4 linked regions of the Elephas maximus indicus genome follow. The protein of the gene in region 2 interacts with the protein of the main gene of each other region in a pairwise test. Links are inferred from orthologs where the notes say so. Each region holds a gene or a part of one and is shown on either strand. Other genes may lie near its edges. The genes, in order: ARRDC1, WWP1, ENTREP1 and ATN1.

Region 1 (7,443 bases), on a different chromosome or scaffold from region 2:
GAAACTTCTGCTAGGGAATCTCCTTAATCAGCCCACAAGTTAATTAGGTACATTTTCTGTCTTCCATGTTACCAGTCTGTATTAGTTATTTAGTGCTGCTATAACAGAAACACCCGCAAGTGGATGTTTATTCTTTCACAGGTTAGGAGGCTAAAAATCTAAATTCAGGACACTAGCTTTAGGGGAAGGCTTTCTCTGTCGGCTCTGGGGGAAGGTCCTTGTTTCCTTTCAACATCTGTGGGCCCAGCATTCCTTAGAGATCTCCACGTGTCTTAGCATCAATCTTTCTGAGTCTAGGAGGTTCATGGTACAGGTACCCTGGTCCAAAGGACACACTCTACTCCTGGCTCTTCTTTCTTGCTGGTAGTGAGGTCCCTCTCTTCTCTACTCCCTTCTCTCTCCTTTTATCTTATAAAAGATGTGACTCAAGCAAGGGTGTGACTTTAGCACAGGCAAGTGACTCAAGATACAGCCCACGCTAATCCTGCCTCATTAACATAGAGTGGTTTAGGATTTAACAATACTGGGAATCATGGCCTAACCAAGTTGACATATATTTTTCTGGGACACGATTCAATCCATGACACAGTCTCACCAATTTTTCCACCAAGAGATAACATGGTTCACTGTTTCTCCAGCCTACAGTAGCAGGCTCATGGACCTTCCAGCACCCTCCTGCTGCCTGGCCCGAAAGTCAATGCTACATTTAATATTTTGTTATGGTAGTTTCTCACTTGTAAGTACCAATTTCTATTTCAGTTTTTATCACTGCATAGCAAGCTACTCTAAAATTTAGTAGCTGTCTTAGTTATCTAGTGCTGCTATAACAGAAATACCATAAGTGGATGGCTTTAACAAAGAACAGCCCCATAGAGTTTCCAAGGAGCTCCTGGTGGATTTGAACTGCTGACCTTTTGGTTAGCAGCTGTAGCTCTTAAACCACTATGCCACCAGGGTTTCCTCTCACAGTCTAGGAGGCTAGAAATCCAAATTCAGGGGCATAGGGATTGGAGAAAGACTCATTAACAACCTGTGTTATGCAGATGATACAACCTTCCTTGCTGAAAGTGAAGAAGACTTGAAGCACTTACTGATGAAGATCAAAGACCACAGCCTTCAGTATGGATTACACCTCAACATAAAGAAAACAAAAATCCTCACAACTGGACCAGTGAGCAACATCATGATAAATGGAGAAAAGACTGAAGTTGTCAAGGATTTCATATTACTTGGATCCACAATCAACAGCCATGGAAGCAGCAGTCAAGAAAAAAAAAGACACATTGCATTGGGTAAATCTGCTGCAAGAGACCTCTTCAAAGTGCTGAAGAACAAAGATGTCACCTTGAAGACTAAGGTGCGCCTGACCCAAGCCATGGCAGTTTCAATCGCTTCATGTGCGTGTGAAAGCTGGACAATGAATAAGGAAGACTGAAGAAGAATTGATGCCTTTGAATTGTGGTGTTGGCGAAGAATATTGAATATACCACGGGCTGCAGAAAGAACGAACAAATCTGTCTTAGAAGAAGTACAGCCAGAGTGCTCCTTAGAGGCAAGGATGGCGAGACTGCATCTTATATACTTTGGACATGTTGTCAGGAGGCATGAGTCCCTGGAGAAGAACATCATGCTTGGCAGAGTACAGGGTCAGCAGAAAAGAGGAAGACCCTCAATGAGGTGGATTGACACAGTGGCTGCAACAATGAGCTCAAACATAACAACGATTGTAAGGATGGTGCAGGACTGGGCGGTGTTCCGTTCTGTTGCCTAGGGTCGCTATGAGTTGGAACCAACTTGAGGGCACCTAACAACAACAGCTCCAGGGGAAGTCTTTCTGTTTCTTATTGGCTCTGGGGGAAGGTCCTTCTCATCAGTCTTCCCCTGGACTAGGAGCTTCTCATCACAGGTACTCCAGGTCCAAAGAATGTGCAGTACTCCTGGCTGTGCTTTCTTGGTGGTATGAGGTGCCGATGTCTCTGCTTGATTCTCTGTTTTATATATCAAAAGAGATTGGCTTAAGACAAGATCTAATCTTGTAGATTGCGTCTTGCCTCATTAACATCAAAGAAGTAGGATTTACAACACAGAGGAAAATCACACCAGATGAGAAAACGGTGGACAATCACACAATACTGGAAATCATGATCTAGCCGAGCTACTAATCGCTAAGCCACCAGGGTTTCCACTTTGGAAGAGTGGAAGTGAATTCCCCCGGCTGAGTGTCCTTCTCTACTGATAAGCTTCCTGCGCAAAGCAAGCTGAGAAAAAATTCTACAGAAGTAGTTTAAAAGACTTGGGTTGTTAGTAAACAAAGAGTATTCCAGCCCAACTTTTGGAGTCAGTAGACCTCTATCAGCAGGGGTGTTTGTTTTAGATTCTCTTTGATTTGCATGGTTCTATTTTTCCAAACCAAGATGAGTTTCATTATGTATAATCTTCATAATGACCAATATTATTCAGCTCTGACGAAAAAACAAAACTACAAAAAAACAGAATGACAAAATATATGTAAAACTTAAACAACTGTTTTGCTTAAGCAATTCACTTAGTACCCTATCAGACTCAAATTTTGGAGAGCCTTTATGTGTTCTGAAGGAAAACAAAGTAAGGATTAATCATGTAGCCTAGAGTAGTAACTGATGAGGGAAGGCCTTAACTAGGGCCAGGAGCCGGAGGGACAGGGCGCCCAATATATTCTGCAGAAACATGTTTTGCACATATGAATAAATGTGCAGTTGCATTTAAAACACAAACAAAAACAAACCAGATTCTGGTCCTCCTTGTCTCAAAGCCATCCGCACCATCCCCCCATGTGGCAGCGAGGTCATCTGTCCCTACAGCTTCGGACCCCGGCGCCCTCCCTGCCCCCGGGCTTGGCACTTGCTGCTCAGGTGCGCCCATAGCTTCAGGGCTGGATCCTCCAAGGCTAGGCAGCGCGGTGCACACAGCAGGCTCGGCTGGCACACCTGCGGGACAAGCGACCTCAAAGCCTCTGGCAAGAGGGGGACGCTGGCCAAGAGTCAGTAGGGCGCCCGGACAGGGGTCCGCCGGGGAGCGGAGGAAGGGTCAGCGAGGTGCCGGGGCTGGGGTCGCCGGGGAGCGGGGTAAGGGTCGGCGAGGTGCCCGGGGAGGGGTCTGCCGGGGAGCGGGGTGGGGTCGCCGGGGAGCGGGGTAAGGGTCGGCGAGGTGCCCGGAGTGGGGTCGCCGGGGAGCGGGGTAAGGGTCGGCGAGGTGTCCGGGGTGGGGTCGCAGGGCCTCCCGCGGTGGGGTCGCCGGGGAGCGGGGTAAGGGTCGGCGAGGTGCCCGGGGTGGGGTCGCCAGGGAGCGGGGTAAGGGTCGGCGAGGTGCCCGGAGTGGGGTCGCCGGGGAGCGGGGTAAGGGTCGGCGAGGTGCCGGGGGTGGGGTCGCAGGGCCTCCTGGGGTGGGGTCGCCGGGGAGCGGGGTAAGGGTCGGCGAGGTGCCGGGGGTGGGGTCGCAGGGCCTCCCGCGGTGGGGTCGCCGGGGAGCGGGGTAAGGGTCGGCGAGGTGCCCGGGGTGGGGTCGCCAGGGAGCGGGGTAAGGGTCGGCGAGGTGCCCGGGGTGGGGTCGCCGGGGAGCGGGGTAAGGGTCGGCGAGGTGCCCGGAGTGGGGTCGCAGGGCCTCCCGCGGTGGGGTCGCCGGGGAGCGGGGTAAGGGTCGGCGAGGTGTCCGGGGTGGGGTCGCAGGGCCTCCCGCGGTGGGGTCGCCGGGGAGCGGGGTAAGGGTCGGCGAGGTGCCCGGAGTGGGGTCGCCGGGGAGCGGGGTAAGGGTCGGCGAGGTGCCCGGGGTGGGGTCGCCAGGGAGCGGGGTAAGGGTCGGCGAGGTGCCCGGGGGCGCGGTTACGGGGTCGCCCGAGGGAGAGGTCCGCGGGCGTCAGGGCCGGGGCGGCGATCGCGGATCCCGGCGGCCCGTCCTCCCCCGCGCGCGGCGTCCTCTGGACACCCCCGGCCTTCCGTGACGCGCTTCCGTCTATTCTCGCGGGGCCCGGGGCGGGGCGCGAGGGTCCCGAGCGGCAGCTGGGGAGGGGCGGGCGGCGCACGCCGGCTGCGGCCGCGGGGAGGCTCCAGTTGCGCAGCTCGGGGCGCGTCTGGGGCCGAGAGCCGAGCGTACGCCCCGCCCCGCGGCCCCGCCCCGGGTCCCGCCCAGCGACCCCGCCCCCAGCGGCCCCGCCCCCGACAGGTGAGCCGGCCGCGCCTCCCGGGGCAGCAGGGGGCGCCCGTGCGCCCAACCCCGCCAGCCGCGCCGGACGCAAAGCTGCTGAGCTCGGCCCGGGCCGGGGGCGGGTCGGCGGGCGGGCGGGCGGGCGGCGGGGCGGCGGCCTCGGAGCGCTGCCGGGCGGCGGGCTGTAGTGCGCTGCCGGCCCGGCGCGGGCTCGCAGCATGGGGCGCCTGCAGCTCTTCGAGATCCGCCTGAGCCATGGCCGCGTCGTCTACAGCCCGGGGGAGCCGCTGGTCGGGGCCGTGTGCGTGCGCCTGGGCGCGCCTCTGCCCTTCCGAGGTGGGCACCGGCCGGCGGGGCTGCGGGGGTCCCCTCGCGGGTGGGCCGGGCGGCCTCAGGTGGTCGCGTCCGCACCTGGGGCGGCTGGGCGGGGCGCCCGGGACCCCGGAAGCGGCGGCGGTGCCTGCCGGCCGGGGACGCGCGTTGCGGATGCGCCGCCCTGCCCCGGCCTGAGCGCCAGCCGGGGGGACGGCTCGGGTGTGGCCGGCCGCCCCGCGCAGACCGCCGGGTGTTTGGCCGGGGGCTGCCGCCAGGCGGGGCGGGGCGGGGAGACCCCGGTGGCCCAGCCCGCCGCATCTGCCTCTTCCTCTCCTTGCTGCCCGGGGGCGGCCAGAGCCGCGGGCTGGGGTGTGGAGGCTCCCCATCTGGCCTAAGGTCACTCTGATTCATTTCCGCTTGGGGTTTCCCTGTCGGGGCACTTAAGGTCTGCTGCCACCCGCATCTTTTGGGCCTCCTCACCTGTAACCTGGCTCACTCTCCGGCTCCCTAGCCTGCCCGCCCAGGATCTTGCTCAGGCCCCTCTTTTCCAGGACAGTCCTGCCCCGAATGTGCGGCCTCCCGCAGGGCCCTCCTTGACTCCTGCCCTGGCTTCCCCTGCCAACTGGGAGGACCTCGCCCATGCCCACCTCCCCCTGGCCTCTGGCGCAGCCTGGCACCAGGGAGCTGAACCTGAGCCCTCCAGGCCAGTCCCTGTGGCGGTGCTGTCTCCTCTTTCACAGACATCTGGGACTTTGGGACTAGGGATTGGGTTGCCGCGGCAGCCCTTGCTAGGGCTCTTGGAGGTGCTGGCCTTGTTTGCCCATCCAAACTGCGGCCCTGTACCAGGCCCTGAGGGCAGGGTGGGCAGAGCTGCCGCCAAGAGGGTGCACCTGTGGCCCTGGCTGCCTGATTCTGGCCTGAGCCGAGGGTAGCTTGGGCATCCCTGCATGGCTCTCTCCACCTTCACTTACTCTCAGAGCCTCCTGGGGCAGTTGGCCCATCTGGACCTCCGTGTGGCCCTTGCCACCATGTGGTGTGAGGCTCCCAGCCCTGTTGGGTCTCGTCGTTATGATCTGATGTCTCCCTAACTACTTCCCTGGCAGGAGTTGGGAGTTTGGGGTGGCAGTTACCACAGGGCCAGAGGCAGTGGGGCTACCCGCTGGGGCGCACGCACAAGGGCACATGCACAGAGCCATGCCAGGTGAGATCTGGGGGATGGGAGTGGAAGGCTCTTGGCTGACCACAGTCAAGGGGCCATCTGGGCCCTGTGTGGGGTCCTGGGGTAGGGTGAAGGTGAATTACTTGGGGCCACAGAAAGCTGCAAAAGTGGCAGCCGGTGCTCTCTGAGTGGGGGAGGAGGAGGAGGACTCCCAATCGGGCCAGAAACCTGATTATTTCGGCTACAGAAGACCCGGTGGAGCACCAGGTGCTGAGGCCACTTCGGACTTCCTCTGATACTTCCTGGTATGCAAAGGGGAGGGCCACCTGTTTTTCCCTCATTCGCTTGATGCCTCTTGAGCGCCTGCTCAGTGCCAGTGAGGTCGTGGTGAGGCCCTCTGTCCCAGGAGAAACATCAAGGAAGGGAGAGCCGGATGCCTGCAGGGTGGGGGCTCCGAGTTGCTCACTAAATGCTTGTTGAATGAATGGCCCTGATGGTGCTGCAGAAGGAGTTGCTCTTGGAGCCCAGGCCAGACCCTACCCAAGGTTGGTAGTTGGTCAGGTGGGGGCTGCCCAAATTCTGGCTCTCGGGGTGGGCAAGGGAGGATGCCCCCAGCACCGCCAGTCTTCCCCGAGCTCCCTTCGTGGGACACTTGCTATTCTACCCACTCTCCATGTTTGGGTAATTAATCCTCATCGCTACCTGGGAGGTGGGAGGACTGGGTCAAGAGGAAAGCAGGTGTTCCAGGAGCAACTCTTGTGACACAAGCAACATCGAGATCAAAAGAGTCAGAGTGATGGCAAACCTTTCAGAAAGGCTGCAGCGCTCTCCACCAACAGACACCTGCCGGGTTGGTGCAATCTCTCGTGATAACCCTATACTGTCAGGGAACACTTAAAGGCTAGATGGCGTGGCTCGGTGCGAGGACGCCGCGTGCCTCCTGGAGCAGATGCTTAACTCCCTTTGCTGGGTAGGGGCAACAGGGCTGCAGGGTCACTAGTGAAGAGTGACTTAACCGTTATCATCAAAAAGGCAGAGGAAGTCTGGCTCTTCGATGCAGTAACTGCCACTGAATCGCCCAGTCCTGCCACCACCCCTGAAGGACAGTTTACTGGGGTCTCAGGCCTGGTTTCCTGCCCCCTTTGCCACCACCCTCAGCAGAGTGGCTGGTTTTCTTAGGCCAGCTGTGTCATCCTGAAGAGGCTGCAGTAGTCCCTGGCATCTAGTCTCCAAAATCTGTGTTCCCCCTAAGAGCAAAGACCCCTCCTAAAACCTCCGATAGGTCCCCCTCATTTCTTGAGCAGGACCATGTTGCAGGAACCCGATTAATCCAGCGGTTTGGGCAGGGAAAACTGTGGCCACTGCAATGGACCCAGAGCAGTGAAAACTGACTCCCTGGGGATTCTCCCAGGCTGACCTGAGGAAGCAGCAGGCCTTCTGTGGGAAAGACCTTTGCCTTTGCCCTACACCCCCCCATTTTTCCCCTAGCAGGGGAGAGAGGACAGCAGGGCAGGTTCCACCACAGGACAACAGGTAGGGCTGCTTGTTCAGCAGGGTGTCCCGTAGGACCTTGGTGTGTGTGTAAAACGGGGCTCTTGGCATGGGGGTTTGGCATGTTGGTGTTTTTATCTGGTTGGCTTTTCTGGGGTCAGGTGCGCATAACTCATTTACCTGATGCTGGGAGCTGGGTCCTCTGCTATTGGTGGACACCCGGGTATACCTAGCTTGTTGGTGTCACAGTGGTGGTGTGTGTGGCTCTGTGGGTGAATGGGTATGATCTCCTGGGGGAA
Region 2 (7,696 bases):
TAAATGACTCAGCCCCTGGATTGACAAATATGGACATGAGAGGGACTGGGGTGTTGGATTTGGGGTGCCAATCCCACCCCCTAGGGACTGGAGGGCATAAAAGCTCCAAGCTCCCCCGGGGCTGGGAGCCTGTGGTCTTTTGGCTGCCAGACCTCACCTTGCTCCTTGTTTGTGCAAGCAATAAATTTCCACTTTGTTTCCCTTGCAACTGGTGGTGTGGTATCCATCTTATTTCTATCGGCTAATAAAACAGGACAAGACCAAGACAAGGATATCCTTTCTCACTATATCTGTTAAGTACTGAAGAAATACAACTCTCTTTATTAACAGAGACACAATTGTATACATGGCAACTTCTAAGAAATTGACAAAACATTACTAGAACTAATAAGTGAATTTTTTTTAGCATATAAGGCCAATATTAAAAAATCCCATGTAAGGCAGTAAAAAAAAAAAAAAAAAAAAAAATATGAGCCATGGATATGAAGCATACCCCTACCCTTTCACAAACACATGCAGAAGAGGAAACTTTTAAGGTAGGAGAGGGGAACGGACACTTAGGTTAGTGCAGGGCTTCTCAACCTCAGCACTATCGCCATTTTATACTGGATAAAACTTTGTTGCTGGAGGGTAGAGGTGGAAGGGGAGTGTCCGGTGCATTGTAGGATGCTTAGCAGCATCCCTAGCCTCTGCCCACTAGATGCCACTGGCAACCCCACCCCGGGCTATGACAATCAGTATGTCTCAAGACACTGCCAAATGTTCCCTGGAATGCAAAATTGTTCCTGTGGAGAGCCATTGGGTTAGTGTATTTATTATTTATTGCCGCATAACAAATTTAGTGGCTTAAAACAATAAACATTTTTTACCTCACAGTTTCTACACATCTGAAATTTGAGAGCTACATAGCTGAGTAGTTCTGGTACAGGATATCTCTTGAAGTTGCAGTCAAGATGTCAGCTGGGATTGCAGTCATCTGAAGGCTTGACTGGGGCTGGAGGATCTGCTTCCAAGATGTCACACTCACAAGGAGACTCAGATCCTTGCCGGTTGTTGGCAGCAGGTCTCAGTTCCTTTCCACATAGGCCTCTTCACAGGGCTGTTTGATATGTTCTCACAACATGGCAGCTGCCTTCTCCCAGAGGGACTGATCTGAGAGTAAGAAGTCAAATGCCTTTTTATGACCTAGTCTCAGAAGGTACACAGTCACCTCTGCCATATTGTATCCATTGGGAATTGGGCTCCACTTTTTGAAGGGAAGGAGCCCTGGTGGCATAGCGGTTAAGAGCTATGGCTGTTAACCAAAAGGTCAGCAGTTCAAATCCACCAGCCCAGCCACTCCTTGGAAACCCTATGGGCCAGTTCTACTCTGTCCCATAGGGTCACTGTGAGTTGGAATCAACTCAACAGCAACCGTTTTTTTTTCCGAAGAGAAAAGTATCGACAAATTTGTGGATATATTTTAGAACTTCCACAGCTAGAAAAGAATTCTCTAACACGTTGAGGAAGACTATGAGAAAAACTATCTAGAGAAAATAAAAGATCATGCTAAAGGATTAAACTACGTAAAGGGAAAAAGCAAAATTATCAAACAAGTAGGGGAAAAAAAAAATGCAGATAAATTATATGACCTTAGAATGGAAAAGGACTTGTGAAGCAAAAAATAAAGGAAGAAAATAAAAATGGAAAACACTAATAGGTTTAACTAGGATCAATATCTTCATTATACAAAGCATCCTTTTGTGAATAACCTAGTAGGAAAATGGACAATGGACCAACAATAAGATACCATATTTGCTCATAAGAAAAAATGCCATGATGACTTCAGTGCAGTGAAGAAGAACAAGCATATTCTCTCATACAGTGCTGTGGGGAAATTCATAAAAACAATTACAACGATAATAATTTATTGACTATGTGTTACACTTATATGTTACACAGCCTTAAGTATTTTACATGTAGCAACTCATTAACTTCTTGCCATCATATGGTAGATAGCATTATACCAAATTTTTAGTTGAGGCCCAGTCAGGTTAATTAATTTGGGCAAGTCTTATAATTTATAGGTGGCAGCAGGGTTATCTTATCCATTAGGCACAATAGGCACAGTGCCTCGGGCCTGTAATACTTTTAGGGGCCCATAAAAATGTTTTATTTTCTTTCAAAATCAGAAGGGAAAAAAATAAACATTTAAGTTGAAGAAAACAGTTTAATGTATAATGTCACTATATTTGTCTTTGTACCAATGTTGTGTAAAACACAATTTTTAATACAATTTATGGAGGAAGAGGCCCACATAGGCAAAAGTGCCTACAGCCCATAAAGTCAGAATGTGGCCATGGGTGGCAGAGCTCTGTTTTGATCCTAAGCCTAGCCTATTTCTGGAAGGCAACTTGCCAATATGTTTCAAAAGGACTAAAATTGTTCATACCTTTTGATTATTGTTAGGAATTTTATCAAAGGCAGTAAATAAGGATGTGGATAAAGATTTACAAAAACATATTTATTTATAATAGTGTTATTTGAAGCCACACAAACATTTGCTAATAAAAGTCTGGTTTAATATTGGGTGTCAACATAGGGGCCAGGGTTAATATTTCTACACGGAACTGAGCTGTACGGAGCGGTGTGTAATCGGGGAATCTTTAAGCGAGACACAAGGGAGCAGGCAAACAGAAGGAGGCCTGTATACATTCTCAAGATGGAGACCACTACTGGGTATTTTTATGGAATTTCTAAGAGAGTTCTTGTAAGCACCTGTTTCAAGGGACTGGAGAGGAAAAAGATGAGGACAAGGTCAGACCAAACATTATGTGTTAAAGCAGGGGGATGATGGGTGTGCACACTCCAGGAACTGGAAAATGTTTGTCAGAACAGGAGGAACAGAGCTTGTGGGCAATAAAGAACTCTTGACTGTCATGTTGATCTTTGCCTTAAAAGTTCTGAAAAAGCCCATGGAAGATTTAAAGCAATGGAGTGGTAAGCTCAGAGGTCTATCTTAGAGAGGTCATTGTGGATACGGTGAGAAGTCAGAGGGCAGGAATTAATGCAACCAAGGGGGAGTGTGCATGCATGCCTTCATGAAGAGATATTTATTGAATCCTACAAATATTCATGGAGTGTCAGTTCTTGGTACGTAACCAAAGAAATCAAACCCATCGCCGTGAGTCAATTCTGACTCATTACAAACCCATAGGACACAGAACTACTCCAAAGAGTTTCCAAGGAGTGCCTGGTGGATTCAAACTGCAGACCTCTTGGTTAGCAGTCGTAGCTCTTAACCACTATGCCACCAGGGTTTGTATGTAACTCTTTTGAAAAGATTAGTTATGAGGGAAGAAGGGAGAGAACTGGAGGGTGTTTTAAGGTCAAGAAAGAATTTAAGACAGAGGAGTCTGAAACGTGATTATACTGAGGAGCTGTAGCCAATAGAGAGGGTGAGGTTAAAGACTGGTCACAGGAGGGAGGGGACCAGTGGAGAAGTTGGCTTTGGAGAGGAGCAGGGGCCCCAAATCTCTGAGACTGAAGGAAAACAAGTAAGCGTGGGTGTGGATGTAGGTAATTTGTGGAGGTCGGGTGAGGCGATTGGGCAAAAATTGTAGAATTCCATGCCTGATGGCCTTTGTTATCTTTCTGAAGTAGAAGGCCAGGTAATCTGATCAGAAATGTGGTCACCACTGACTTCTATTTGAAGGGTGACTTTCTTCTGAAAGCTCGACTGGGGTTGGAGGATCTGCTTCCAAGTGCCAACAACACTCCTGTAAACCAGCTGACTCGTTTGTATAGTGCATATAACGACAACAAAAAGTTGCTGTTGAGTAGACCCAGACTCATGGTAACCACATGTGTGTCCGAGTAGAAATTATACTCCATAGGGTTTTCGATGGCTGATTTTTTGGAAGTATATCTCCAGGCGTTTCTTCTGAGGTGCCTCTGGGTGGACTGGAACCACTAACCTTTTGGCATTGGCCATTTGCACCCCCCGCTGGATAACAGAGTCTGCCTTATAGGATTGCTGTGTGGATTAATTGTGCCAACACACGTACTTGCTCCATAAGTATTGGCTTTAACGCTGGGCTGATGTGGGGGTGAGGGAGTAATGTTTTGATTACAGAACTAATAAAATGGACTGGAGGTCTTCTGCTATGACTTATCTGTTAAAAGCAATTTACTCTTGAAACGGGTTTTGTGTCAAACATTCAGCGAGGAGTATTTATTAATAGCCTATTTTGCCGTAAAGCATTCAAGACAAGAACACCAGTGCCCCCGAGGAACTTACTTGAGGTCACGCACCCCGTTATGCTAAGCACAGTAAAGTCAAGTCAGCAGTACCCGCCGCCAGTTTGGGGAAACCTCTTCCCAAATCTCGGCGACGGCACCGCCCCTTCCACAGGTTCAGGCCCCACCCCCTTCTCCCTCTGGCAGGCCCTCCCACTAGACCGCTCCGAAGACCCGGAGGAGCGGAGTTTTCTAAAGGCATCATCGGGGCGCCCTCGCTGCGCATGCTCGCGAGAAGCCGGATTCCGGGTCCGGAGTTGGAGGCTTTGGGTGGCCGCGGCGCAGCGCGCGGTGCCGGGGCCGGCGGGGAGGCGCGCGCTCGGAGCGCGGCGCCGGTGACGCGGGCACGCGGCGCGCTCCCGAGGAGGGAGGTGTGGGGTCGCCTGGGGGTGGCGCGTGGCCGGGGTGGGGTGGGGGGAGGGTCGGGTGTCGGCGAGAGCGGCGTGCGGGTTCCGAGAGGCTGCAGGCGGCCTGGGCTGCCAGGGCCGACGCCTGGGTGGCTGTCGCCGCCGCGTCTACTGCGAGATGGCGATCTTGGGCGCGGAGGGGTGAGGGCGCCCGCCGCAGGAGGAGGCGCCGCTGCCGTGGCCGCCGGGAGCCGACGGCTTCGCGCCGGGTAAGGACGCCGCGAGGCGGGGGGCGGGCGGCGCGGCTGCGGGCCCCGAGCCTTAGCTGCGGTCCCGGAGCCCGGAGCGGCCAGTGCCCGGGCGGGAATCTCGAAAGGCGGTCGGGTGCCGGTCCGCGCCGTCCTGGCCGCCTTCTCCAGCCCGGGGACCGGGAGTTTGCTGGGGTGGGGTCACGGGTCTTGCCCCGAGTTGTAGGGGCAGAGGCAGAGGCCTGTGCTGGCTGATATTGGAGCGGAGCGAGGTGTTTCCGTGACCCTGCAGCCGCAGTTCTCAGGCTCCACTTCACCTTCTTTCTACCTTCTCTTCCTTTCCTTAACACCTCCCCTCTGAACACAAATATGTGGACTTTTGCCCGTGCGCTGACTTTCACCGCAATTCAGCCGTTTCAAAACCAGGACTCCAACCTTAGAACGTCTTTTTCTGACATGTTCTTAAGACTCCGGTTCTTCACTGGCTCTGCACCTCCCCCCAACACAACCCCCACCTCCACCTTTGTGACCTGGCAGGTCCCAGTGACCTTGCAGTTTTTACAGTCCTTATCTGTGATTTGGACCCTCTCCTTTCATTCTTATCTTTTTATTTTGTAGTTTGCCCATTGCTTTTACAACCTTTAAATTAGCAGTGTGTGAACAGTGCTTTCTTTACTCCATCGATTTGGAGTTGAGCTTCCTTTGCTCCAGTAATAATATGACGCCTTCATTGTCAAAGAAAATAAGTATTATTTTGCAGTTTTTACTTCTGGATAGAATATTTTTCCAATGGCTTGATTGGGTTTCTGCTTCTCTTTGAGAAGTCTAACCTTTTTTGTGTAGGTCAGTGTGCAAAAAGATTTGAGTGTCTGCTTGAAAATGCTGTTGGTAATAGTTGTGGACAAGAAAATGTCCAAAGTTATCTTTTTTTATTCCTTTTGTGTTTTTGCCTTGAATACCTGGTTTACAGTTGTCTGCAAGAGTTCACTTATGTATAAACCCACTTTACCACTCACTAAGGCCCTACGTGTATTATACAAGCAAGGTGCACCATGTATTGCACCTTTTAAAAAAGAATTCATTCATGTGATTTGTCTTTAGCCATAAAGTAGTAACCTAGCAGTGACTGGAAATGCTCATTTTTTTATAAATAGTTAATATTTTTTAAACTAAAAACTTAATAGCTAAGTGTTGAGAGCTACACAAAATTCTTTGGGACGTAGTTTATTAACATTTTCAGATAGTTCTTCCCTTAAAATGCATAACTGCCTATAAGACCTATGACCCCACAGTTTTGAAAAGCAGTAGCTAGTTACATTTTTTGGAAGCCTAGCATGATAACCAAAAGCAAACCCATTGCCATCCTATAAATTCCGACTCATAGTGACCCTGGAGGGCAGAGTAGGTGTCCAAGGCTGTAAATCTTTAGGGAAGCCGACTGGCACGTCTTTGTCCCACACAGTGGCTTGGTGGGTTCAAACCGCAGAGCTTTTGCTTAGCAGATGAGTACTTAACCACCATACCACCAGGGCTCCTCTGGCATGATAGAGGATGTCACAGATAAGGTTTTTACCTTCAAAGAGATCATAATCTTTGCTCTTTACCCCATGCTGGCTGGAATTTCTTTTACTTTCTTGCACAATTATTAAGCATCTACTGCATGACCGCCAACCTTTTGGCTAGTAGTCAAATGCTTAGCCATTTATGCTAGCCAGGGACCTTTTGTACAGGAATAGAGGGTGATAAAGCTTGAAGTAAAAATTTGGGCTAGCTTATGGGTTGTTTTTAATGTGACCTTGAATTTAGTAGGTGGTTAAGGTTTCACAGGTGATGTTTAAGTTGGGTGTGAAATGATTAAAGCTCTGTTTTAGTGGTACTAATCTGGCCGCAGTGTGAATTGGACTAGGGAGAGCCTGGAGGTAGAAAGACCTCTCGATTGCTGTGGTCATAGCTAGCAAAAGTTTTGCACTTTGCCAGTAATGGGAATGGAAAGGAGGAAGGGTGTAGAACAGACAGAACTTGATGATGAGAAAAAAAATGAAGAAAGTAAAATGTTAAACTAAGATTCTGACCCAGGTTAGTTGGGAGAGTGGTGGTATCATTTTGAGCATATCCATGTAAGCTTTTACCTTTTTTTAAGCAGCATATGTTTGTTATTTTATGTCAGTAGTTTACTGACCTTTTTGGAATAACTGACCTTTTGTGAAACTAAAGAAATCTGCTGGACTGGAATATCCCTATTTGTACCTGCACTTTGTGGATATAATTTCAGAGGAGTCCGTGAACCTAGTGAAGCTCATCCATGGAACCCATTGGACAGGTTTGGGTGGAGGTCAGCTCTCAGAATTAACCTGGAATCTTTTTACAATGGTAGAACTCAGCTTCCCCCATCCTGGCAAGAACCTCTACAGCAGAGAGGATTGCTTAGAGACTTATCTCCTCACACTTGTGATGGGGTTTACAGTTTACATAGAATTTTGACTCACTTACTTCTTTTATATTACAGAACAAACTAGCCCAAGAAGCTAAATGATCTACCTTAAGTATTTCAATTACCAAGTGGGCAAAGTGGCATCACGAGTCACTTGACAATGATGATTTTCTTTCTTGTATGAAGAGAATGCGACTGATTGACCATCGGTTGGATATGGTTGAATCTGGGAGGTTTCTTCTAGTTTTTAACATTTTTGTGATTCTTGGATCTTAGGTTTTCGGTAAGAGCATCTGTACCCTTATTAAATGCCCTCCCGCCCCCACACCCTTCCCACTCCCACAGGATTAAGTAGCTAAGTCTTCCTAGCATGGTTAAAGCATAATTTGATT
Region 3 (6,980 bases), on a different chromosome or scaffold from region 2:
TGAGTGGGAGACAAGGACACACCCAGCCAGCAGGCCCTGGAGTAATACCCTTCATCTTCTGGCTGATGGCCTTTTTTTATACTTTATCAAATCCAACCGTGGCTGGACTGGTATCTAAGTGCATTTACCTGAAATAATTCAAAAATGGTTTTTAATCCTAAACTAGCTGCGTTTGAGAAGACAACAGATTATCATTTCACAAAGTGCAAATACCTAAAAATGTATGCAAGAGTCATTGCTGGCCCCTGGTATTTAGGGAAATGAAATGCACAATCCATTTGGCCGAATTTAGCCTGGCAAGTGGAGTAGGGAGCAGGAAGGATCTAATTCCCACCCTGCTTGGAGGAGGCTTCCTCCTAGAGTCTATAAAACACTCAGGGGCAATCGGCAGAGCCCAGCAGCAGGGTGGTGAGGGTGGGATTCTGTTTATATGGTGTACAAACTGTGAACTTTGCTCATATAGCACAGGATGTACCAGACAGAGATCAACATCAAAGTATTTCAAAGGAAAGCAAATTGGCATCAATTTCAGGATAAAATGTCAGGCCAGTGTCGAGGAGCCTAACGTTCTTATTCCAGGAATTACTTTTGGTTCAGATTAGCCCTCCTGATATTAAATTTTGGTCTGGAATCTGCATATGTGTCGACCTGGAAAAGAATGGCTCTTCAGCTTTCAGAACATGCATACCTTACAGATTTCGGGGAAAAACTACAGGCCACGCCAGCCCTTTTAATTTAGTTCAAAGAAAGGTCATTTACTTTAAATACTCATCTCTCACAATCATCCTACCAAGACCTGTTTCCAGGACTCTCAGCACCCGGCCAACCTCAAGGGGTTGGATGTCTTAGGAGTTGTGAAATGGTAAGGAGGTAGGGGTGAGTGTCCACCCAGTGTCCACGGACACTGGCAGGCAGCAGCCTTTGTCAGAGGCCTCTAAGTGTATTTACCTCTGAAATAACTCAAGGGTAAACTGATTTGGGCTTTTAATTTTAGAAGGCACCCTTTTGCCCTGGAATCAGCCTTCCCGGTTAGAGGAGACAGAGCTGGGTCCTGGGGCTGAGCAGATAATTCCAGGTAGCTGCCTAGCTCCTGGAGCTTTGCCTAGCTCATTGATAATGACAGGCTCAGGTTCCTGAGAATTAAACACTGCACAGCAGCCTGTGTGGCTCCAGGAACCCAGTGGGGGCTTTAAAAAAAAAAAAAAAAAAGGCCCTGCTTTAATGACCAGGTACAAGCACTGGCTTACACACACCCCCTCATTACCTCCTGAACTTGTCCCCAAATACAGGCGAGCTATCCTACATGAGATACATTTCACATTTACGTGTGGACTAACAAGGAATAAAGGAGCCCTGGTGGCGCAATGGTTGAAGTTCTTGGTGCTAACCGGAAAGGTCTGAGTTCAAGTCCACCGGCAGCTCCGTGGGAGAAAAGTCCTGGTGACCTGGCCCTGTAAAGATTACAGCCTAGAAAACCCTATGGGTCACTTTTACTCTGTTGTATAGGGTCACCATTAGTCAGAAAGAATCCAGTCCACACAATAAGGACAATGAGGAATAAAACAAGTGCCCCCCATCAACCTGTCAGTTCATTCATTCCACAAATCCACCTACTGTGTGCCAGGCACTGTTGATACATCAGTGAACAAAACAGATCAAAACCCTTGCCTTCCCGGCGTGGACGTTGTCAGTGCACTATTGTAAACACTCAATCTTCAAAAGGAGGTTAATTATTTTCCTCCGGCTTTCCTGTCATCACACCCCCCCCCCATCCTTCCAATCTCCCAAAGTGCTGGAAATTTTTGTTTTATACTAGTAACTTGACAGTAACAACAAAATCCTTTAGCCTGAGAAGAATCTGCACTGCCCAGGCGCAACCCCATTCACCCCTAAACTCAGTTGTCTCCAAAATCTTTTTCTTCTGCTGCTCCCAATGCCTCCAAAAACTTCAGCTGGCCTTACGGGTTTGTGCTAACTGCAGCCCCGCGGGGAGCGGCGGTGGTAACCAACGGACGGTGATGGGAACCAGCCAGAGCCCTCTGCCCCATGACCGGCCCTGCAAAGGTGAGCGGGGGGCGCGCTGCACTCACCGAGGAGCCCGCCCAGAAAGGGCACGAGTTCTTCACCTGCGGGGAGCTGCTCAGCGACAGCGCCCCGAAGCTGAGTGCCACCATGCAGCAGCCCAGGATCAGCTGCAGAAGCCCAAGCGACAGCAGTGGGCGGGCGGGCAGCAGCGCGGAGCCCGGGGCCGCGGCGGCGGCGGCGGCCCGGCGAGAGGAGAGCGCGGGCGGCGCGGCCAGCACCCCGGAGGTGGCCGTGCAGCGAGGCCGCGCCGGGGGCTGCAGCGCGGCCCGGGGCCAGCGCGGCCGCAGCGGGGGCAGCGGCGGCTCCTGGGCGGCGGCGGCGGCGGCGCCAGGACCCCCGGCCTGTGGTCCGCCTGAAAGCCCGGCCACGGGGCAGCAGGAGCCCGGGAGCACCACGGGCAGGGACATGGACCGGCCGGGAAAGGAGCGGCCGGCGGCGGCGGGGAGGGGACGCGGCGCTGAGCCGCGGGCGCCGCGCACTGGGCGCTGCGGGTGGGCGGCGAGGCCGAGGGGAGGGAAGGAAATGCGCACGGCCCAATTATTTGCTGCCGCCGCCGCCGCCGCAAACCCGGCTCCCTCCGGCCGCACCCACCTGCCGCCCGGCGGGTCCGCCTCCGGCCGGCCCCCGGCCGCACCCTCACTCTCACCCACCCACACCCACACGCGCCCTGCGCACGAGCCGCGCGGGTAGCCAAATATGCCTCCGTCTTCGGGTCACAGCCGAGCCCGTACCCGCTCCCTGGGGCCCAGGAAGGGGACCCTGCACCAATTTTTAGAATAAGACCCTCGAACGGGAAGGGACTGTGCGCCAGGGCACGGCCGACAGCGTAAGAATCTGTCCCCCACTCGCAGAGTTGAGGCTACAGAGGCGCGTAGGGGAAAGCGCTGTGTACCCTCACCCGGGTAACCGTACAGCCAAGAGAGCAACCCGCGGCAACCTTGGACGCGAAGGGAGTCCGGCTTTAAACTTCGCCCCCCCCCTCACCCCCCCCCCCCCCCCCCCCCCCGCCCAGAGCGGGGATGTCAGGAAGAGGAGCTTTGGGAAGAGGTCTAAGACGCAGGGCTTCGGGAAGGACGAGGCTGCGAGAAGTCGCTGCTCCGGGGACGCAGGACCTGCCTGGACGGCATCTGCTTGGTGTTTCCCGGCGCTGACACTGCGCTGAGGTCGCACCTTCTGGAGAGGGGGGAGACTGGGGGTTTCCCGGTACCTGAGTAGGAGCGAGCGTGGGAAGACTAGGTTACACTTGGAACAAATACACAGTATCCAGAAAAAAAGATCAGGGAGTGGCTCTAAGCGCTTAGCAAGGGTTACACTCTGTCCGCCTCGCCTTGAAACACAAAATTCCGGACTTAAAAAGAAATATCCTAATAAAATTCTAATCAGCGTCCTCGACTGCTTTTGGTAATTTATGAGACATCTTTAAAACTTATTAAAAAAAGTGATGACTTGTCTTTGCAAAATGATTTCCTCTAATAGTATACTTTTACCTGGGAAGAATTCTAATCTGTTGAAAAAGTGTTCTTACGCACAGAATGATTCTAATTGATTTTTCTAGATAAGAACCAGAGCAGTGAGGCTTGCAGTCAGTCAGCCCCAGTATTAGGCAGTTTATCTTATCAGTATGGTGGGAGTATTTAACGTTCTCCTTCCTAATTAACCAAAGGAGAGCTTTACCAGTTTTTATGCTCTGCTTGCGAAGACTGTATTTCTTTCTTTCATTACTTAATTCAATACAAAATGTGATGTACAGGCAACGTATATGTGTGCTTACATGTGCATTTTTTTAATTATTAAAGCACCTGGGATTAATACTTCCTGACTTCTTTTTTGGAGCCCTGGTGGTGGCTTGGTTAAGAGCTTTGCTACTAGCCAAAAAGTCAGACATTAGAATCCACCAGCTGCTCCTTGGAAACCCTGTGAGGCAGTTCTACCCTCACCTACAGAGGTGCTATGAGTTGGAATCATCACAACCGCAACCAGTTTGGTTTTTTGCTTTGGTTCCATAGTTTTCTACCACAGTTTACTTTTTTGTTGTTGTTACTGGTCACATTTATATTTGTTTCTTTTTCTGATTATTGTAAACATGAACCCATGTAACACTGCCGCAGCCTTTAGAGCTATGCCACATAACTCCTTTAAGTAGTTGGCCTTGGATTTCTGTCACCCAACCTTGATTCTTTGCATCCCCTAAACCTCTGCTTACACTAAGTCCTTAGTTTACCTGATCAAGCTGTATGGAACTGATCTCTTAGGGGATGATTCAAAGCCATTTCAGGATGACTTAAAAAATAAAGTGAGGAAGGGCCTCACTTAAGAATTTGGCCCAAATACTTCATTAATGTAGGTGAAAGTTCAAGGAAACAATGGTTGTAGTGTATTTATTGTCCAGTGGAACTCAGTTGCCAGTTTTTCCTCATGATGAAAGCGAACTTGCAAGGAGGTTCTATATACCTCCCACCGGATATGTATCTTATTTTCCACTTGGCGCACTCAGGTATAAAGGCTCTTTTGCTCAGATTTCTCTGGACCCCTTTAAACAAATTCCTCACTTTCTCCCACCCATTTCCAGAGGACCTTAGTTGTCACCTAATTAAAGGAGGCTGCTCCCTGTCAGAAGGAGCCCTGGTGGTGCAGGGGTTAAGGTGCTTGGCTGCTAACGAAAAATTTGGTTCGAATTCACCACTGTGCTCCTCAGGAGAAAGATGTGGCAGTCTGCTTCTGCAAAGATTACAGCCTTGGAAACCCTCTGGGGCAATTCTACTCTACCCTACAGGTTTGCTATGAGTCAGAATCAACTGGAAGGCAAGGGGTTTGGTTTTGGTTTTTTGGTTCCCTGTTGATGTAGAGAGCTGCTGAAGACACTTGTGATTTCAAACCAAACCTGCTTCCATTTGTTATATGTTACAGAAACAGAAGAGCTTCCCTGAATTTAAGGCACAGCAGACTCCAGAAGTTGGTTTTGGTTTTTTGGTTCCCTGTTGATGTAGAGAGCTGCTGAAGACACTTGTGATTTCAAACCAAACCTGCTTCCATTTGTTATATGTTACAGAAACAGAAGAGCTTCCCTGAATTTAAGGCACAGCAGACTCCAGAAGTCCCCATTTAGCATGGTGGGCCTGGAGCAGTATGGTCCACAGAGCACAGAATCATGTCATGTAGGGAACGTGTTAAAATGCAGGTTCCCAGGCCTACCCCACACCCATGGAATCTGACTGGATATGAGACCTGAAAACCTGCATTTTAACAAATGCAAAAACGCAGGAGTGTGTGGCACTATTCAGACTCTTTTTATATGGAAACTGTTCTATGGGAGAGGACTAAAAAAAACCATTGTCGTCGGGTCAATTCCAACACACAGTGACCCTATAGGACAGCATAGAACTGCCTCATTGGGTTTCCAAGAAACAGCTGGTGGATTCAAACTGCTGACCTTTTGGTTAGCAGAGGTAGCTCTTAACCACTACTCCACCAGGGTTTCCAGGAGAAGACTAGGGGCAGCAATTTTGTTGGAAGGGGAGTCTAGATGATTTGGTTTGAAACCAAACTTAGATGTAAATTTGTTGGGGGGAGGGCTGTTGCTGCCCCAGCAGGCACTGCTGCTCAGGTGACTTTTATGCACAGGAAAGAGCTAGCCCCCTGGATTCTAATGGACAAAGCTCCATTAGAAGGCAGACCTTCTGGGCTCTAGCCATGCCCCTCTCCCCACCCCTACTGGCTTCCATGGCCTCAGTTGCTTCATGTGTAAAATGCAGGTTTGTGATACTTTATCTGCCTAAGGCTGGGACATTTTATTATTTGGAGTCCTGAAGGCCTGCAATTTTGAAGTTCATCCATTCTCATCACCACAGTTTCTCAGATTACTGGCAAGAGAATAGGGGCTAAGAAAAGCAGGTGAACTTGAGTGTGGAATAGTTAAATTTACAGACCCAAAATATCCAGGACAAAACCCAAAACTCGCTAGTCTAAACTTGAAGGCATCAGGTTCCATGGCGTTGTGTTTTCCCATGAGGTATGTGTGGTGTGAGAGTTTGTGCGGGGGGGGGGGGGAGGGGGGATGGGTGAGGGGCAACTTCAATTATGTGTTTTCCCTTTGAAGGGAAAGGGCTGTGTAGCGTCGTTTCTGTTCTGATGTGTTTTAATTGAGAGAATGAGCTGAAGAAAGAAAGAAAAAGAAACCCTGCACAGAGCTGGATGAATCCGGCACTACATTTTTCTGAAATAACGATACGGACTGACAGCTAAGAATTCCTTAATGCCACTGGCCCCGAGATAGATTGCAGCCATACTTTTCTCATTGTTGAAGTTCAATGCTGGAAACTTTTTATGAATGCAGATACCACAGAGACAATTCATGTTAACTGCCCTAAAAATTGTTCATGGCACATATATATGTGTGTGTGTGTGTGTGCGTGTATAGGTGTTGTTGTTAGGTGCTATCAAGTAGGTTCCGACTCATAGTGACCCTACATAGAACAGAAGATAACACTACCCGGTCTTGCGCCACCCTCACAATCATTGTTATACTTGAACTCATTGTTGCAGCCACTGTGTCAATCCATCTCATTGAGGGTCTTCCTCTTTTTCACCGACCCTCTACTTTACCAAGCATGATGTCCTTCTCCACAGACTGATCCCTCCTGATAATGTGTCCAAACTATGTTAGATGAAGTCTTGCCTTCCTTGCTTTTAAAGAGCATTCTGGCTGTACTTCTTTCAAGACAGATATATATATATGTAAAACTCCTTGCCATCAAGTCGGTTCTGACTCAAAGCAACCCTGTAAGACAGGGTAGAGCTGCCCCATAGGGACCAGTTGGTGAATTCGAACTGATGACTTTTCGGTTAGCAGCCATTATACATATGTAAAAATGTGTGTCCTCTGAGTGTGTGTGTGT
Region 4 (6,853 bases), on a different chromosome or scaffold from region 2:
ATCTAAACAAAAGCACAAGATGACTGTGATTGGCTGTGATCTTCATCTTTACAGCAGGGCGCCCATCTCTCCTCCCATCACAGAACCTGTTCACCACATCAGTCAGGGGATCCAAAAGGTCAAAGAAATATGAGAATGTACCTGAAGAACACAGCAATTCGTGTGCCCTTCCCCCTCACCTCAACTTTTTTTTATCAGCTGAAATCTGAAAAAATTAGCGAACAGTTGCATTGAAGAAGTAAAGCCGTCATAAAAAGGTAGGCAAGTAATCCCAGGATAAAGGGAGACGGGAGGGACTGGGATTGGACTGTATGTATGTTTCAGAACCTAGGGCACGTTCTAACACCAAACAGGTGAGCTACACTCCTTGCCCTAGCGGCCAGTCACTGTAACTAACATTTATTAATCAAAACCCACTGCCGTCAATTTGGACTTATAGCAACCCTATAGGACACAGTAGGGTTTCCAAGGAGCAGCTGATGGTGACTTTTTGGTTAGCAGCCAACCACTGCATCACCAGGGCTTCAATATTTGTAAAGCACCTACTATGTGTCTGGCAACACGCTAAGCACATTCACCTTGATTACCGTATTGCAAAGGGAAAATGATAGACCAAATTGGGAAACTGGAAAAGGGTTGCGAGAAATAGGAAAAGAGCCCCTCATTAAGAACAGGAAAAGAAATTAAGGGAGAAGTATGAGAAGGCTGGAGTCCATAGATGGTGCAAACAGTTAAAAAGCTTGGCTGCTAACCAAAGGGTTGGAGGTTTAAGTCTACCTAGAGGTGCCTCGGAAAAAAGGCTTGGCGATCTACTTCAGAAAAAGAACCAACTTGATGTCAACCGGTTTTTTTTCCTTTTGTATAGGAAGGATATCAGAAGAAATACAACTGAGTCACAAGGCTTTCTGGGAGGGATTTGCAGGGTGAATTTCAGGATCATTGGCCCAGCCCTTCTCATTCCAGACCTGCCTGACTGGCAAACCAGCTCAAAGTGTCTCCTAGAAGACAATGCAGCCCAAACCAGCACGCACTGGCCTAAACCACCTTAGAATCCAGGGTTGTCAGAAGGGCCTCAGAGATCATCTAGTCTATTATCCTTTCATCTTACAATGAAGCTGAAGCTCAAAGAAAGAGAAGTGACTTGCCCAAGGTCACAGACACAACCAAGACTAGACCCAGGTCTCCTGGTTCCCATTCCAGAGTACTTCCACTGCACCAGGCTGTGCCTCGGCCCTTTCCCCTGGGACAGCCCAGTCATTCCTACAAGGTCAGGGAAGTAGAAACTTGAAAGTTAGCTGAAGAAAAGGGTCACTGTGGGGATAGTCTGGAAAAGAGGAAAAGAGATACTCCTCAGGAAGGGAGACTCAAAGAGAAATTCAAGTTTAAGAAAACAGAAGGACTTCAGTGCAGAGAAGCAAAACTACTGTGTAAAAAAGTCCTTAATAACAAGGGAGGTAGAGGCCAGAAAGAACCGCCAAAAGATGGTATAACTTGAGAGCATTTTCATTCTCCCACCATGCCTGGGAGAAGGGACTTGGAGACGCCTACGACCTGCAAGTAACATGTCTACCTGTTTCAACAGACTGCTGGATGGAAGGGGGTGCACCCTTTGGGGAACCTCCTATGCACCAGCAGCACCAGAAACATCCTCCGGAACCCAGCCAAGAGCTAGGAATTTAGGGCCCTGATGCATCCCAAGGACACAGGCACACACTGAGGTCCAATCAAGATTCTGAACCCCCACCTAGTTGGACATCCCACTGGACCATTGCCATGGCAACAAAATGGTAGCCTCCCCCCCAAGAGTCTATCCCAGGGATCCATCTGGCACAAAGGGAGACCTTAGAGCTCAAAAGAGTAACGAAGACCTCTCCTATACAGGGACCATGGCTAGAAGCACAGTGGGTGCTCTGGGGATTTAAGGGTGGGGTCACAGCTTGTTTGAAGTGCCTATAAAGCCACCCTCCTTGAAACCCTTTCTCCTTAACTCTCCCTTCAATGCCCCTGTCTTCCTCCTCATCAGTTTTACAAAGACCCACACTACTGGGCCCCAATGCCCCTCTCCCAGAAGTAAACTGTGTCTGGGATTGAGAAAACAGGGTCAGAAGCGACCTGCAGTAAGGGAGAGAAAAATAAGTCACAAAGGCATCACCTTCACACTCCCAACCCTCAAAGCCCCTGATTATTCTTCTCAGAAATGGACCTCTCCTTGCCCATTTCTGAGCCTCCATCTCCGCAGGTTCCACTTCCCTTCCTCAACAGCCACAATCTCTCTCTTTCCACCTACCACACCCCTTCCCCATTTCCCACTTCCCTTCTATTCCTAACACCCCCAACCCCTGGCCCTGAAAGCCAGGCTCCGGGCCTTTGAGGCTTTTCCTGGAGCCCTCACGCCCCACCTCGCTGCCATCTCTCCAATCTTTTCTGCCTCTGCCCCAATCCCCCGTTTTTCCTCCACCAACACCCCCACATCCCCACCTCGGCGTTCCTCTTCTTTTGGTCCGGGGGTCCTGGCTACCCCCTTGCCCCATGAGTCCTCCTCCTGAGCCCCTCCCACTTCTCTCAGCCTTCGAGATCCTCTGGGTGCCCTGGCCCCCATCCCTCCTCGGGGCCGGCCCCACCCCCAGAGCGCCCCCCCCCACCAGCCTCAGGCTAGGCAGTGCCCACAGTAGGGGGACCGAATCGGGAAAATAACAAATGGAGGCGGCAGCGGCGGGAGGGGGAGCTGGGAGGGGTGGGGGTGGGGAGCCGCGGGCCAGAACCCGGCGGGCCGGAGGCCGGGGCGGCAGCACAGCTTACCTGGTTGTAGCTCGGGACGGCTGGCTGCCTCCTGGCGGGATTCGGGGCTCCGGCACCTCCGGGGGGCGGCGGCGGCCGCTCCCCGCCCCCCTCTCCTCTTTCCGGCTTCAGTCGCCGCCGCGACGGCGACGGCGGCGTCCCCGACCCCCCCGGAGGGCGGCCCCCATGTCCCTTTTCCTCCCCACCTGGTCCCGATCGCCCGCCGTCCCCTGAAACAAATCCCGTTGCCGCTCTCCCTCGTCCCCTCCCCAGTCGCGCCGCCTCCCCTGCCGCCCGAAAGCCGCGGCCGCGCCGCTCGCCCCCGCGGCCCGGCCGGCCCTCCGCGCCGCTCGGATCCGCCGCCGCCGCCGCCGCCGCGCCGGCCCCGCGCAGCCCGCACCCGCGCGATCCCCGGCCCTCTCGGCGGCCTCCGCCCGCGGCCCCCGCCCCTTCCCGGGCGGTCGTCTCCTTCGCCCACTCCTAGCCGCTCCCCGAGGCCAGCGGTCCCCCGAAATGGGTCCCGGCTGGAGGCCCCGGCCCGGCGCGGGGCTGCGGGCGGGCTGGGCGGCGCGTCCGGCGACTCGCACAGGAAAGCGGACGGCGAAGGGAGGGAGCTTGGGAGAGGGGGATGGGAGAAGGGAGGAAGAGGGAGAAGGAGGGAGCGCGGAGGAACGGAGGAGAGAGGGGCCAGGAGGGAGACGCGAGGGAGGGAGCGCGAGGCAAGCTGCGAGGGGGGAGAGAGGGGGATCCGGAGAAGGGGAGGCGCTGTGTGAGTTGGCCGAGACCGAGGCCGAGGGGGCCGGGGCGCGGGGAGGGGTTCGCCGTGGCGGAATGTAGGGTGCCGCCGGCCTGACGCGGGAGTAGGGCTGGCCAGGAGGGGCTGTGGGTTGTAAGGACAGATATGGGGGAAGCTGGAGAAGTTTGGGGGGATGGGGTTTGTGGCAGAGGTGAAGTGGGAGGAGTTTGGGGGTACTGGGATAGAGATTGGGGTAAAAGGGTTAGAAAGAGATTGAGAAAATGGAGCTACAAGGATCTTTGGGGACAATGAAGTGTGTGGAAATGAGGAAAGGTGAAAGAAACTTGGAGTGATTGCGTCTGTGGCAGAGATGAAGTGGGAAGAGTTTGGGGGGTTATTACCAAAGAGAATAGGATGAAAGTTTGGGGTCATAAGAAGGGAAGAAATTGAAAGGATGGAGACATATATATGAGGATGGGGTTTTGGGAAGACAGTAAAGAGTTTAAGGGGTGATTGGTGTTGGGAAAGGAATAGGGAATATAGGAATTTGGGGGTGCTTTTTAAAGGAAAGCTGGAGAGAAGATCCCAGAGGAAATGTCAGTATGAAGAGGAAAGGGAAAGCACGAAGAGCCTTAAGAAGAGGTGAAAGAGGCAGAGGAGACTAGGGTTCTGAGTGGGACAAGAGGGTGGAAGACACAGGGCTAGCTGGATGCTGGGGTTAAGTGAACTGAGGGCTTGGGTTTGCAGGGCGAGGTAGATAGAATTGGGTGGAGGGATTTAAGGAAGATTGGAAAAATAAACAAGGCCTTTGGTGGCAATATGGAGGAAGGTAGGTCATTGATGGGGAAGACAAGAGAAGGGAGAGCATTTGAAGGAAATGATAGACACAGAGGGGACGTGTCCAGGTGTGGGTAAGGGATTCAACTTATAGGACTGGGAGACCAGCCTCAGGCCCTTCTGTGTGGTGGCTTCTCTATTTTCATTCTCAAATCTGTTTGAAGTCACCACTGATTGTACCTTGGGCCACAGGGAAGGGGTCAGTGGGGATTAGGCTTGGTATGGAGCCAAATCCCTAGGTGTCCTGGTTCCCTAACTCCATTCTAAGGTAGAGACAATCACCACTACAGACCAAAAGCTCATTCTAACGCGACTCTCATTCTCCCTCCACTGCTCTCCAGGCAGTCTCTGACGCTGTCAGTCTGCCAGCCATTCCCAGTCTTCAGCCATGAAGACAGCACCCCACAAGCCGCCTTCTTCTGGGCTCCCTCCCTGGGCCCACACCAAGCAGCTCCATCTCCTAGGACAAAGGACACCAAGACACTGGGTGATTTTTGGCAGCTGAGATTGGGAAGGCCAGAGAAAGGGAGGGAGGGAGGCTGGGAAACAGGAAGAGCTGGAGCTGGAGTCTGGATCAGGAGTCCTCAGCTCTCCAGATTTGAGGTGAGGGTAGAGTTTTTGTGGGGTCAGGCCAGCCAGAGGCCCATGTTAGGCCCTGAACTGGCAGGATCCCCTGCCATCTGAGAGGGAAGGAGGTTGGCTCTGTAGAAACTCAGTAGATGTCGCCTCACATTTCCCTGGGCCAGGTTCAGCCAACACATGTCTGGGAGGACCCAAAAGCTTACAGTACATGGATTCTAAAGCACTGGGGATGGAAACAAGAAGGCTTCCTTGGCCTAGGAATGAATCACCACTCTTAAGTCCCTCAAACTGGTTAGCAGTCACTTACCACTCCATGCCCACCTTCCTTATCCCTCCCCAGCCTCCCTAAGACAAAGCCAGCCTGTCTTCCTGGGCTCCCCAGACTTCTTTCCTCAGTGTTCCAGGATAGCCCCACTCCTCCTGGCCACCCCCCTCAACTCTGTTCCAAGACTCCTCCTTCCCCCTCCCACTCCTCCGCACAGCATTTCCTCTGTACTTCTCAGTTCGGTCTCCCACTGGGCCCTGGCCCAGGCCCTTCCCATCTCCCTTCTAGGCTGAGATTTCTCTTGTTCTTTAACCACGAAGAGGTGGGCAAGGATGATGACAGATATATCTGAGCCCAAAAGGAAAACTGACTTAGGTGTAAAGTAGGAATGAGGGGGGTGGGGATAGGGAGAGGCAGCAGAGAAACTGGGGCCTACCCCCTCCAATTCCTCACCATGTGAGGGCCAGGCTCACAATCCAGCTTCAGGGAGCATTACACACACACCTCACCATCCCTCACCCCAGCTCTCCTTTCTGGCCCCAGCCCCCCACAACCCACTGGTCTCCAGGCAACGGCACAAAAGGAAAATGGAGAGAGGGGCCTGGGAGGCCCAGGCACAGCTAGCTGTAACCCAATCCAACCCAATACCTGAGGGGGGGGCAGGGAGCATGACTGTCAGAAGGCAACAGAGCAAGGAGGGAGGAAAGAAAGGACACTGGTTAGAAAATGTGGCTCAAACCAGAACCAGAGTAATCCTAATAAGTCTGGTAGTTACTGAAGAAAGATGGAAGTCATGGACCTCAGAGACAACAGAGGCACAGAGAAAGTATGGTGAGCCCCAAGAGAGGCAGAAAGTCCTGCTAGGCAGAAATGAAAGAAAGATGAGATGCCCACACTGCAACGTGCACGGAGGAGTGGGGGCAAGAAGCTCTTTGAACTGAAAATGGCTGAGGTGTCAGGGACCCAGGAGGAGAGGGCAGAAATGGGCCCTGCCTATACAGAACTGAAATCCTTTTAGCCCTGGAGCTGTACAAGACAGCAGAGGGAGCCCAGGACCAGAACTTAGAGTGGGAGGCCCACAGAGAGTACCCTTGAAATTCTTCCCACCCCGACTACAGCAGTGTCCCGCACGGTGTCGTATAGAACATCGGCTCCCTCTAGTGGCCACAGCTCCCCATGGGCAGCCCCTACCTGCTAATATGTGCCTTCCCAATCCAAGGCACTGGGCTGCCCACCCCCTTCTCCCTCTGGGTGGTCCCTAGGCTGAGCATTCCAGTGCTGGGGCTCCACAGGAGCTTAGGAGTTACAGGGGATCTCTAGCCATATACTGGCACCCTATGCACAGTCTGACCCAGCCAGAGGGCCTGTCAAGCACTTCAAGTCCTGAACATTCAGGACTTAAGCTTCCTCAGGCCCTTCCCTACATGGCCTGGTACCAGTCTTCCCAGTTCCCCATCTTGCAGGAGGTGATGGCCACACAGTCCTGCTCCATCCCAGAACCAGCCAGGATTTTGTTTGGGAGAGGCTCAGTATGGGAGCTGGTCCAGTCCACAGCTTTATACCTTTGATACTTTCAGGGACTTCTGGATCCTGGCTATATCACTTGCTGAGTCAATTCTAACTCATGGGGATCCCATATGTGACAGTAGAACTGT

Evidence for each region.
Region 1: the proteins of WWP1 (region 2) and ARRDC1 interact in binary tests that used the Homo sapiens proteins (3 or more experiments, as listed by UniProt). The link is inferred for Elephas maximus indicus from reciprocal best matches to the Homo sapiens genes WWP1 and ARRDC1.
Region 3: the proteins of WWP1 (region 2) and ENTREP1 interact in binary tests that used the Homo sapiens proteins (3 or more experiments, as listed by UniProt). The link is inferred for Elephas maximus indicus from reciprocal best matches to the Homo sapiens genes WWP1 and ENTREP1.
Region 4: the proteins of WWP1 (region 2) and ATN1 interact in a two-hybrid assay, tested with the Homo sapiens proteins (2 studies listed by BioGRID and IntAct). The link is inferred for Elephas maximus indicus from reciprocal best matches to the Homo sapiens genes WWP1 and ATN1.

What each region holds. Positions count from the first base shown.
Region 1 is NC_064827.1:661,524-668,966, reverse strand, and holds the start of ARRDC1 (arrestin domain-containing protein 1), read left to right. Parts: upstream 1-4,515; intron 4,516-4,523; exon of another isoform or gene 4,524-5,045; 5' UTR 5,046-6,449; coding exon 6,450-6,503; intron 6,504-7,064; coding exon 7,065-7,186; intron 7,187-7,443. Other genes in the region: basic proline-rich protein-like, read right to left, coding at 2,984-4,399. UniProt on the Homo sapiens protein: Functions as an adapter recruiting ubiquitin-protein ligases to their specific substrates. Through an ubiquitination-dependent mechanism plays for instance a role in the incorporation of SLC11A2 into extracellular vesicles.
Region 2 is NC_064833.1:55,410,149-55,417,844, reverse strand, and holds the start of WWP1 (NEDD4-like E3 ubiquitin-protein ligase WWP1), read left to right. Parts: upstream 1-4,691; 5' UTR 4,692-4,894; intron 4,895-4,900; exon of another isoform or gene 4,901-7,587; intron 7,588-7,696. UniProt on the Homo sapiens protein: E3 ubiquitin-protein ligase which accepts ubiquitin from an E2 ubiquitin-conjugating enzyme in the form of a thioester and then directly transfers the ubiquitin to targeted substrates.
Region 3 is NC_064827.1:84,578,697-84,585,676, reverse strand, and holds the start of ENTREP1 (endosomal transmembrane epsin interactor 1), read right to left. Parts: upstream 3,004-6,980; 5' UTR 2,493-3,003; coding exon 2,091-2,492; intron 1-2,090. UniProt on the Homo sapiens protein: Functions as an activator of the E3 ubiquitin protein ligase ITCH in the ubiquitination of the CXCL12-activated CXCR4 receptor. Thereby, triggers CXCR4 endocytosis and desensitization, negatively regulating the CXCL12/CXCR4 signaling pathway.
Region 4 is NC_064822.1:63,726,007-63,732,859, reverse strand, and holds the start of ATN1 (atrophin-1), read right to left. Parts: upstream 3,017-6,853; 5' UTR 2,800-3,016; intron 2,428-2,799; exon of another isoform or gene 1-2,427. UniProt on the Homo sapiens protein: Transcriptional corepressor. Recruits NR2E1 to repress transcription. Promotes vascular smooth cell (VSMC) migration and orientation. Corepressor of MTG8 transcriptional repression.